Pelodiscus sinensis: one gene and its partner. The protein of the gene in region 1 purifies or fractionates together with the protein of each later gene. This does not show direct contact. Links are inferred from orthologs where the notes say so. Each region holds a gene or a part of one and is shown on either strand. Other genes may lie near its edges.

What was found.
Region 2: the proteins of IGF2BP1 (region 1) and ELAVL1 purify together in Homo sapiens (co-immunoprecipitation; 3 studies listed by BioGRID and IntAct, with this or other methods). This does not show direct contact. The link is inferred for Pelodiscus sinensis from reciprocal best matches to the Homo sapiens genes IGF2BP1 and ELAVL1.

The regions. Positions count from the first base shown.
Region 1 is NC_134739.1:14,417,851-14,421,755, forward strand, and holds the start of IGF2BP1 (insulin-like growth factor 2 mRNA-binding protein 1), read left to right. Parts: upstream 1-978; 5' UTR 979-1,390; coding exon 1,391-1,565; intron 1,566-2,823; coding exon 2,824-2,884; intron 2,885-3,905. UniProt on the Homo sapiens protein: RNA-binding factor that recruits target transcripts to cytoplasmic protein-RNA complexes (mRNPs). This transcript 'caging' into mRNPs allows mRNA transport and transient storage.
Region 2 is NC_134729.1:30,214,744-30,218,648, reverse strand, and holds the start of ELAVL1 (ELAV-like protein 1), read right to left. Parts: upstream 2,708-3,905; 5' UTR 2,573-2,707; intron 1-2,572. UniProt on the Homo sapiens protein: RNA-binding protein that binds to the 3'-UTR region of mRNAs and increases their stability.

The DNA of each region.
Region 1 (3,905 bases):
TGTGGCCAGGATTGTGGGGCACAGGGGGACACCCCCTTCATCCTAAGCAATTCCCAGCCCCTCCCCCCATGTGGCCAGGATTGTGGGACGCAGGGGGACACCCCCTTCATGCTAAGCAATTCCCAGCCCCTCCCCCCATGTGGCCAGGATTTGGGGGCGCGGGAATCCCCTTCATGCTCAGCAATTCCCGGCCCCTCCCCCCCCATGTGGTTAGGATTTTGGGTGGGGTCTACACTCTGGCTTCTTGGCAGATCCAAACATGCGCCCTTTTGGAGGGGAGAGGTAGGGGAAGACCATGTGCACTTCTGTCCCTTACTCCCTCCTCCCCCTCCGGTTCTCAACGCCCGCACCCTGCGAAAACCAACGGGGGGCGGGGAAGCGAGAAGCAAGGATTTCATTCACCCTTCTCAGTCGCGGCAACGTGATCTGCCCCCCTGCCTCAACCTAGTTCCTGGAGAATTTCTCCCAGCCCCCTCCCCCCATTCCTCCTTTTGTGGCTTCAGTTCTCCTCCCTTCTCAGTGCTCCTCCAACAGAAGGGGGGGGGCAGGGTTACATCTTCCTGTCCCTCCCAAAGAATCTCTTCTTATCGAGTGGTGTTTAGGGCCCCCCACTGATCCCGGGAGGTGGGTTACCATGCCCACGGAAAGCCCGGGACTCCACGTTTCCCCTTTGATTAAGAAGTTTACACCGGGCAAATCCCATTCAAGCCCTTGGAAGCCATGGGGGGAGGGGAGGGGAAAGGGGCAGCTGTGTGTGTGGGGGGGGGTGATGTTGAGAGAAGACTGAGGGGGGCGAGGAGACGGAGATGAAGTGGGGGGGGTGCCCCCCCCCCCACTCTAAAGCCTACCTTGGGAAATAGTAAATAAAATAGTAAATTTTGTTCTCACCACCCAGGGCCTGCCCAGCCCGCATGCCCCTCCCACTCCAGGGGCCGGGCCTTGGTCCCCACCACGTGGCTTCCTCTTGCAAACATTTTCACTCATTTTTCCAGGTCGATTTTATTTAGAGGCGGGCTCCGAGCGCGACTCGCAGGAGTTGGAGGCTGGAAGGAACCAGCCGCCGCACTTTTCCCCAGCCCGCCATACCAGTTGAACCCACCCCCTGCCCCCATTGTAAGCACGAGGCATCCCACCTCCCCCGGCCCCTCCCTAGAGGACCCCCCCCTGGAAACCAACTCGCCTTCCCAGCTCTTGGGCTCCAGTTTGAACTGGGAACTTTCCCCCTTTTTTGGAAAAAAAAAAGGGCGGGGGGTGGACGTGCCAAACCCGCCCCCCACCAAGAATCCGCAAAGAAAAGTTGGTCCCCCCCCTCCCCAGCCCTCAGAGCCCTCCCTCCCCCTTCCCCTCTTCACACCCACCCACCTACCAGCCACATCGCTGGGGCTCAACCATGAACAAGCTGTACATTGGGAACCTAAACGAAAACGTGACTCCAGCCGATTTGGAGAAAGTCTTCAATGAGCACAAGATCTCCTTCAGTGGCCAGTTTCTGGTGAAATCGGGCTATGCCTTTGTGGATTGCCCCGATGACCAATGGGCCATGAAAGCCATCGAAACTTTTTCTGGTAAGCAGCTTTTCTCCCCCCCCCCCCCCCTTTCCTCCTGGTGCGGCACCACATCTCTTTTAGCCTCCCCCGCCCCGCAGAAATAGCCCCACTCAGGAAAGGGGGGGCTGCTCTTCTAGTCCCCCCCTTCCCTGCTTTCTCCTGCCCCCCACCCCCGTCCATCGCCTTGGTGGACACGCAACTCAGGCATGGCCCTCCCATTTCGCGAGTGGGCCGGATCCTCTGGCGTCTCTCGGGGCCTCCCAACAGCCCAAATAACAAAGCTGCCCCCCCCCCGCAGCGAGTCGCGTGGGGGCCGCGAAGGCCACGCGGGGCCAGCACCCGGGATTCCCCAGCCAAGTCCCTAGTGGGGACCTGAAATCCCCGATTCACCCTCCCTGCCCCCCAAAGAGCTGGGCCGGACCGAGTCTCTCCCCTGCGTTCAATCAGGGAGCCTCTCTTCCTCCCCCCTGCAGCCAGAGCCCCCCACAACCGGGCGGGGGGCCCCCTGAATCCAGCCCCTCGCTTCCCTCCAGCAGCACTGGGCCCTTCGGGGCTTCCCAGCAGCCAGCCCCCGCCCCCCAGCATGGCTCCCCGCAAGGCGTGGGGGGTCGCGATCGGGGTGGGGGTCCCGTCTGCAGCGGGGTGGGGGAGGGGGGCGTTGGACTGAGCCATTTTGATTCGAAGCTGGGGCTTGCTGGGGGCATGTGGGCTGTGGGTAGCGCGGAGGTCGCCATGCTGTTCTCCCCGAGAGAAACTAGGAGGGAAGCAAACACGTTTCTGAGGATGCCAGGCGCGCCCCAATCCAAACCCTCCTGTGCCCCCCAGATGAAAACCAGGGGCAGGGCGGCTCTCCCCGTGGTTTCAGGGCGAAACCCCTTCGTTCCAGGGAGGGACATTTTTTTTTCTCTTGTGTGACACAATTCTGCCCCAGAGAGCTTCCCACACAAAAGCAGCAGCAAAGACTCGAGCTGCCCATTTAATTCTTCCCTTTTGCTGAAGCAGAGACTTCCCTGGTCCAAACACAGCCCGGGGGAGCGAAGGAATCCAAGAGCCCTAGCCCACATTTCCCTCCCCACAAGCCCCTATCCTTCATGCCTTCCCCCCCAGCTTGAAACCAGTTTTGTATTTCACAAAGTGCCCTCGCAGAGGAATCAGAAAATGCAGTTGGTCTGTGTAGGCCACTGGCATTAAAAAAGAGCCATGGGCAAGAATGAGGCCCAAAGCTTTCTGCATCCCACCCTACTTAGATTTTAAAAAAGACACATTTTGTTTTTAGGGAAAGTGGAACTGCATGGAAAACAGCTAGAAATTGAACATTCAGTGCCTAAAAAGCAAAGGTAATACAATGATTTAATTCCTCTTATTTTTTTTCTCGTTGCAAAGATACAGCTAACTTACTGGGAGCTGGGGGAGAGGTTTATCCTCACAATTAGGTGAATGTGAAATTAAATTGAAGAAACAATTATCTCTGCCCAAAGCTAGGCATGAATCCGTTCTGGTGATCCACCTTTACATGTCATCTTTGTCTAAATTAATTTGGAAGTAAGTTTACACACACACACAAACAAAAAAGGAAAAAAAGTAGGTGTGGGCCAAGAGGGTGAATTGCTGAGATCTTGCTAAAGATACTGTGCAGTTCACTGCTCTTTTGTTCACTCCAAAATCCTTTTTTTTAATTTAAAATTTTGAATATTTAAAAAGAAATTGTTTTATTTTTCTAAATGGGAAGGAGGGCTTATTTTCTCATTTTGGGCCAAGGTGTAGTTTAAAGGAATTGAACTGAGGAAAATAGCCCAGTTTCTCAAAGATAATAATTACAGCACAGGGAGAAATCTTCAATTTCCTTTCTCTCGCCTTTAAACATGGAAAAAGTGTCAAGTATAATTTCTTCCAGTAGATTTTTTTTTTCAGAAGCCCACAGACTTCTCCATGCTCTTGGCCTTTTGTCGTTGGTTGCTCGCACGTTGAGCTAACAGTTTATTCTGGTGACCCAGCAGATATTTTGCAACTTAGGGGAGATGCCACATTTAAAAAAAAAAAAAGAAGAAGAAATGTTTTCTAGAAAGGCTGAATTTTCCCTACCCCCAGGAAGCAGGCCAGTGGTCCCCAAATCCAAATAGGCCATGCTGAATTCTAACAGAATCTGTAATATGTCTGGTCCACGTGACTAGGCAGTTACTTCAACAACAGAGCAGAAGGAAGGTGGCTCTTGAAAAAACTAAAATAATGTTTTATGACAGAAAAAAACATACCCGAAGACTCTAGTCTAGTCTGTTTTGTGAGCAAAGGGGTAGGCCTTAATTCTTGCTCTCCCCCTCCCCCCCATTTGTTGGCTTTTTAAAATTACACACCAGTGTG
Region 2 (3,905 bases), on another chromosome or scaffold:
ATTATTATGTCTTGTTTACACTTGGAACATTACCTAAATAGCTATCCTGGAATGGCTGTTTCCAATATAAGCGCCAATGTGGGAACTTATTCTAAAGTAAGAGTGCCTACATAGGGCTCATACCAATATAACTATTGCAGGGTAATTAATCCAGAATAGCTATTACCATAAACTTTCAACTGTAGACTAGCCCTGAGCTAGTAAGTAAGTGCTCTGGGCTTCAGAAAGTACAGGCCCGTGAAAATCAGAAGTCTGATAGAACCATTACATCTCTGCTCTGAAGTTCTCACAAGAACATAAGAATCAAAAACAAGACGACAGAGTGAAGGTTCCTCAGACTGCTTAGAGAGGCAAATTTTAAAGAAAGAGAGTGAGCTTCAGGCAGATGACAATAAGCTGTTCCAACCACAGAAAGGGACAGAAGACACAAATCTAGGATTGAGGAAAGACAACAAAGGTTTGAAGAAGACAAAAAGATAAGAAGCAGAAAATGAATAAGAAGAGATGAGACAGAGAGGGTAGGGGTTAAAGTTTATGTAGGACTTTCTATGAGTATTGTGCTGATTTTATATATTCATAGACAGGAAGCCAAAGGAGGATCCCAGTAACATTAAGTCACAAGAAAAAAGAAAGATGATTTTGGCAGCAGCTTTACAAACAGAGAGAGAGAGAAAGAGAGGTCAGACAAGCGATTACTCTAATAAAGCCAGAAAGCAACCAGGATATGGATAAGGATTTTAGCAGTCAATACAGGACACATTTTGAACAAAGAAGCATCAGGTGTTTCCACAACACACTTAATATGGGGCAAAGAAGAATTAAAGGTCACAGCAAGATTACCAACAGGGACACAAGAAAGTGAAGTTATCAATGGGAACCAGGAAAAAAAAATTAGAAAAGATTAGGTCTTCTTATCAGTAACTAGAAAAAAAACCCTAGTTACTAAGGTGCTGCAAGACTACTTGTTGTTTTTAAAGTTTTTCCAGTTACAGACTAACTCTGCTACCCCTCTGAAGCTTTTTATCAGTAAATAGTTACAGTACATCCCTCATTATGGAATGCAAGATGCATATGGCTGGACACTAAAGATATCAACATTAACTAAATAAATTGAAATGCACAGGGAGTATGGAAGTGTCATGAGTATTCAGGGACAATAACGAATTTTTAGATGGCAACGAAGTCAGAAAGAAGAAAGTATACAGAAACAACAAAAAAACTAAAGAACAGTAGCAAACTGAAAAAGAGGTATGGAAAATTGTTCAAAGGAAATGGAGTTGTCAGCAACTCTATTTGTACAGCACCCTGTCTATTCAATAAATACAGCATCCATGTGCAAAATATTGAAGACAGAGAAATATCAAGAGGACTAAGTCATCAACCACATCAAAAGCAACAAGAGAACCCTTCTAGATGACCCATCCTCTTCCTCCATACCCACCATATCAACACCTCCACAACCCAACACGTTGTCACATGTACTTCTACCAGTGCACAAAAGACACTCTCCCCAACATATATACAGGCAGTCCCCAGGTTACATGGATCCGACTTACATCGGATCCCTACTTACAAACGGGGTGAGGCAACCCCGCACTAGTTGCTTCCCCCCAGCAGACCAGGGAGACGCGGAGCGGCTTTTCTCAGCAGACACCTCCGCTTGAGAATAAAGGCCTGAGGGAAGTGAGGTCTGGGAGAATAAAACTGAGCTCTGGAGAAATGTTTGGCTAGAGTTTCCCCTACAATATGTACCAGTTCCGACTTACATACAAATTCAACTTAAGAACAAACCTACAGTCCCTATCTTGTGCGTAACCCGGGGCCTGCCTGTACCAATCAAAATCCAGGACTATGCAGCACTTGAAAGACGAACAAGATGGTTTATTAGGTGATGAGCTTTCGTGGGCCAGACCCCTCAGATCTGAGCAAGTGGGTCTGGCCCACGAAACCTCATGGTCTAATAAACCATCTTGTTCGTCTTTCAAGTGCTGCACTGTCCTGTGTTGTGTTTCAGCTGCCCCAGACTAACCGGCTGCGTCTCTACCACTGCGCCAGCCAAGTGGCCCTGACACATCCCCTTGCTTGCCTCCCAGCACCCCCCCCCCGGCCCGATCCCCGCACACGCCGCCCCCAGACGTGGGCGTCCCCTCGCCCGGCTGTGCACCCGCAGGTGATCCATCGCCTCTCGCTCACGCCGCGGAAGCCCCCCCGTGCGGCACCAGCCCCGCCGCGGGCTCAGCTCGCTCAGAGCGGGGAGGCTCGCGCCCGCCGGATCCCCGCGCGCCAGCGAGTGGGAGATTTAAACGCAGGAGCGCGCGGGGCGGGCGAGCGGGCTCCGCTCCCTCCCCCACCCCCACCCCCGCTCTGAGGAACCAGGGTCGCCCCGTCCAACGGGCCTGCCTCCGCCCCTCCCCCCGCACAGGCCCGGCCTCCCCCTGCAGGCCGCGGCGCCGCTGCTCTCCACACACACAGGCCCCAGGCCTGCCCGCAAGCCCCGGCCCCAGCCTCGCTCCCGGCCCCAGCGCGGCCCGCTCCTCCCCCCGCCAGGAGACGGGGCCCGGCCGGGCCTCACCTGTCGGCAGCGCCAGCAGGCCCTGGGCAGCAAGAGGGTAACGGCTCCTCAGCGCGTACAACCAGCCTCTCGCGGCGCCCCTGCCCACGCCCACCGACCCGCATTGGTTACTTTGCGCACGTGGCCGGCGTCCTATTGGACCCACGTCCCGTCCGTCAATCGCCCCCCGGGGGCGGAGTCTCCCATCAGGCGGGAGTGCAGACCGGGTGGGAGGTGCGGGCCGGGAGTGGGAGGGGCTGGGGATGGCTCCTGGCTACCTGGGCTGCGCGCTTAGCCCACGCGCCCTGTCTCGTGGTGCTCGCTGGCCCCGGGGGCAGCCCTTGGTTGGTGGCTGCTTCCACCGCTCACGTTCCTTGGAAGGCTTCGGTCTGCTCGTGTGTAGCTGGGCTGGTAGAGACAATGGCGCTTCTGGCAGCGAATACTGATGCTCACCATTCAGTCCCAAGCATTTTTGGCCAAAGTAAAATCATGGACCCATGAGCACTTTCACCTGGCCTGGCAAGCAGGCGTCTTCCTGCCTGTGAGGTACCAGGTTGCCCCAATTTTACTTGTAGAGCTAGAGCAAGGCTTAGCCCTCTCCCTTGTTCAAGAGCAATACAACAGTAAGGATGAAAAGCAAGAAGCTGGAATCGTTGAAAAGATCTGGCCAGGGGCACGCAGGACACGCTATGCAGACAGGTTCATGGCACTGGGCAGCCCAAATACAGAGGTGAAAACCAGTGTGCCCCAATGTGGCCATGTTGCACTCCAGCAAAAAGAAGCCTGCAGGCTGGGCACTCAGCTGCAGCTGCTCCTAGCCAAGTTCCTAGGGCTCTCCCAGAGGCTGCCTTGCCCCTCCCATTCCCCTCTCCTCCAGGACTGCCCCATCCCCTAAAGCTTCCACCTCTGCCCCACTCCGTTGAGGAAAAGTGGAGGGTTGCAACCCTATGTACCCAGAATTTTGTTGCTCTTCCCTTCCCTTGACTATCAAAGAGTGAGGGGAAAGTGTGCAGCTTGGGAGCCTTCTTCTCACTCCTGGCTGCCCAGGGGAGGAGCAGAGGAGATTCCACACAAGCTGCACACTTCCCCTTGCTCCCTGATGGTCGGGAAAGAGGAAGAGCAGCAGCAATCCAGTATGTGCAGCTGCCTTCTGCCACCCTTCCAAAATGACACCCTTCACTTACCCATACAGCACCCAGCCGCCTGCCCTGACCCCCCCAACCTCAGCTCCAAACCCTGCCTGATTCCTGCACCCCCAACATTCCCCTGACGAGCCCCCATTCTCAACACCCACCCCTTATTTCTGAACCTCCCAAACATCCTGCCCTGAGCCCTCCACACCCTCCGCTCCCTA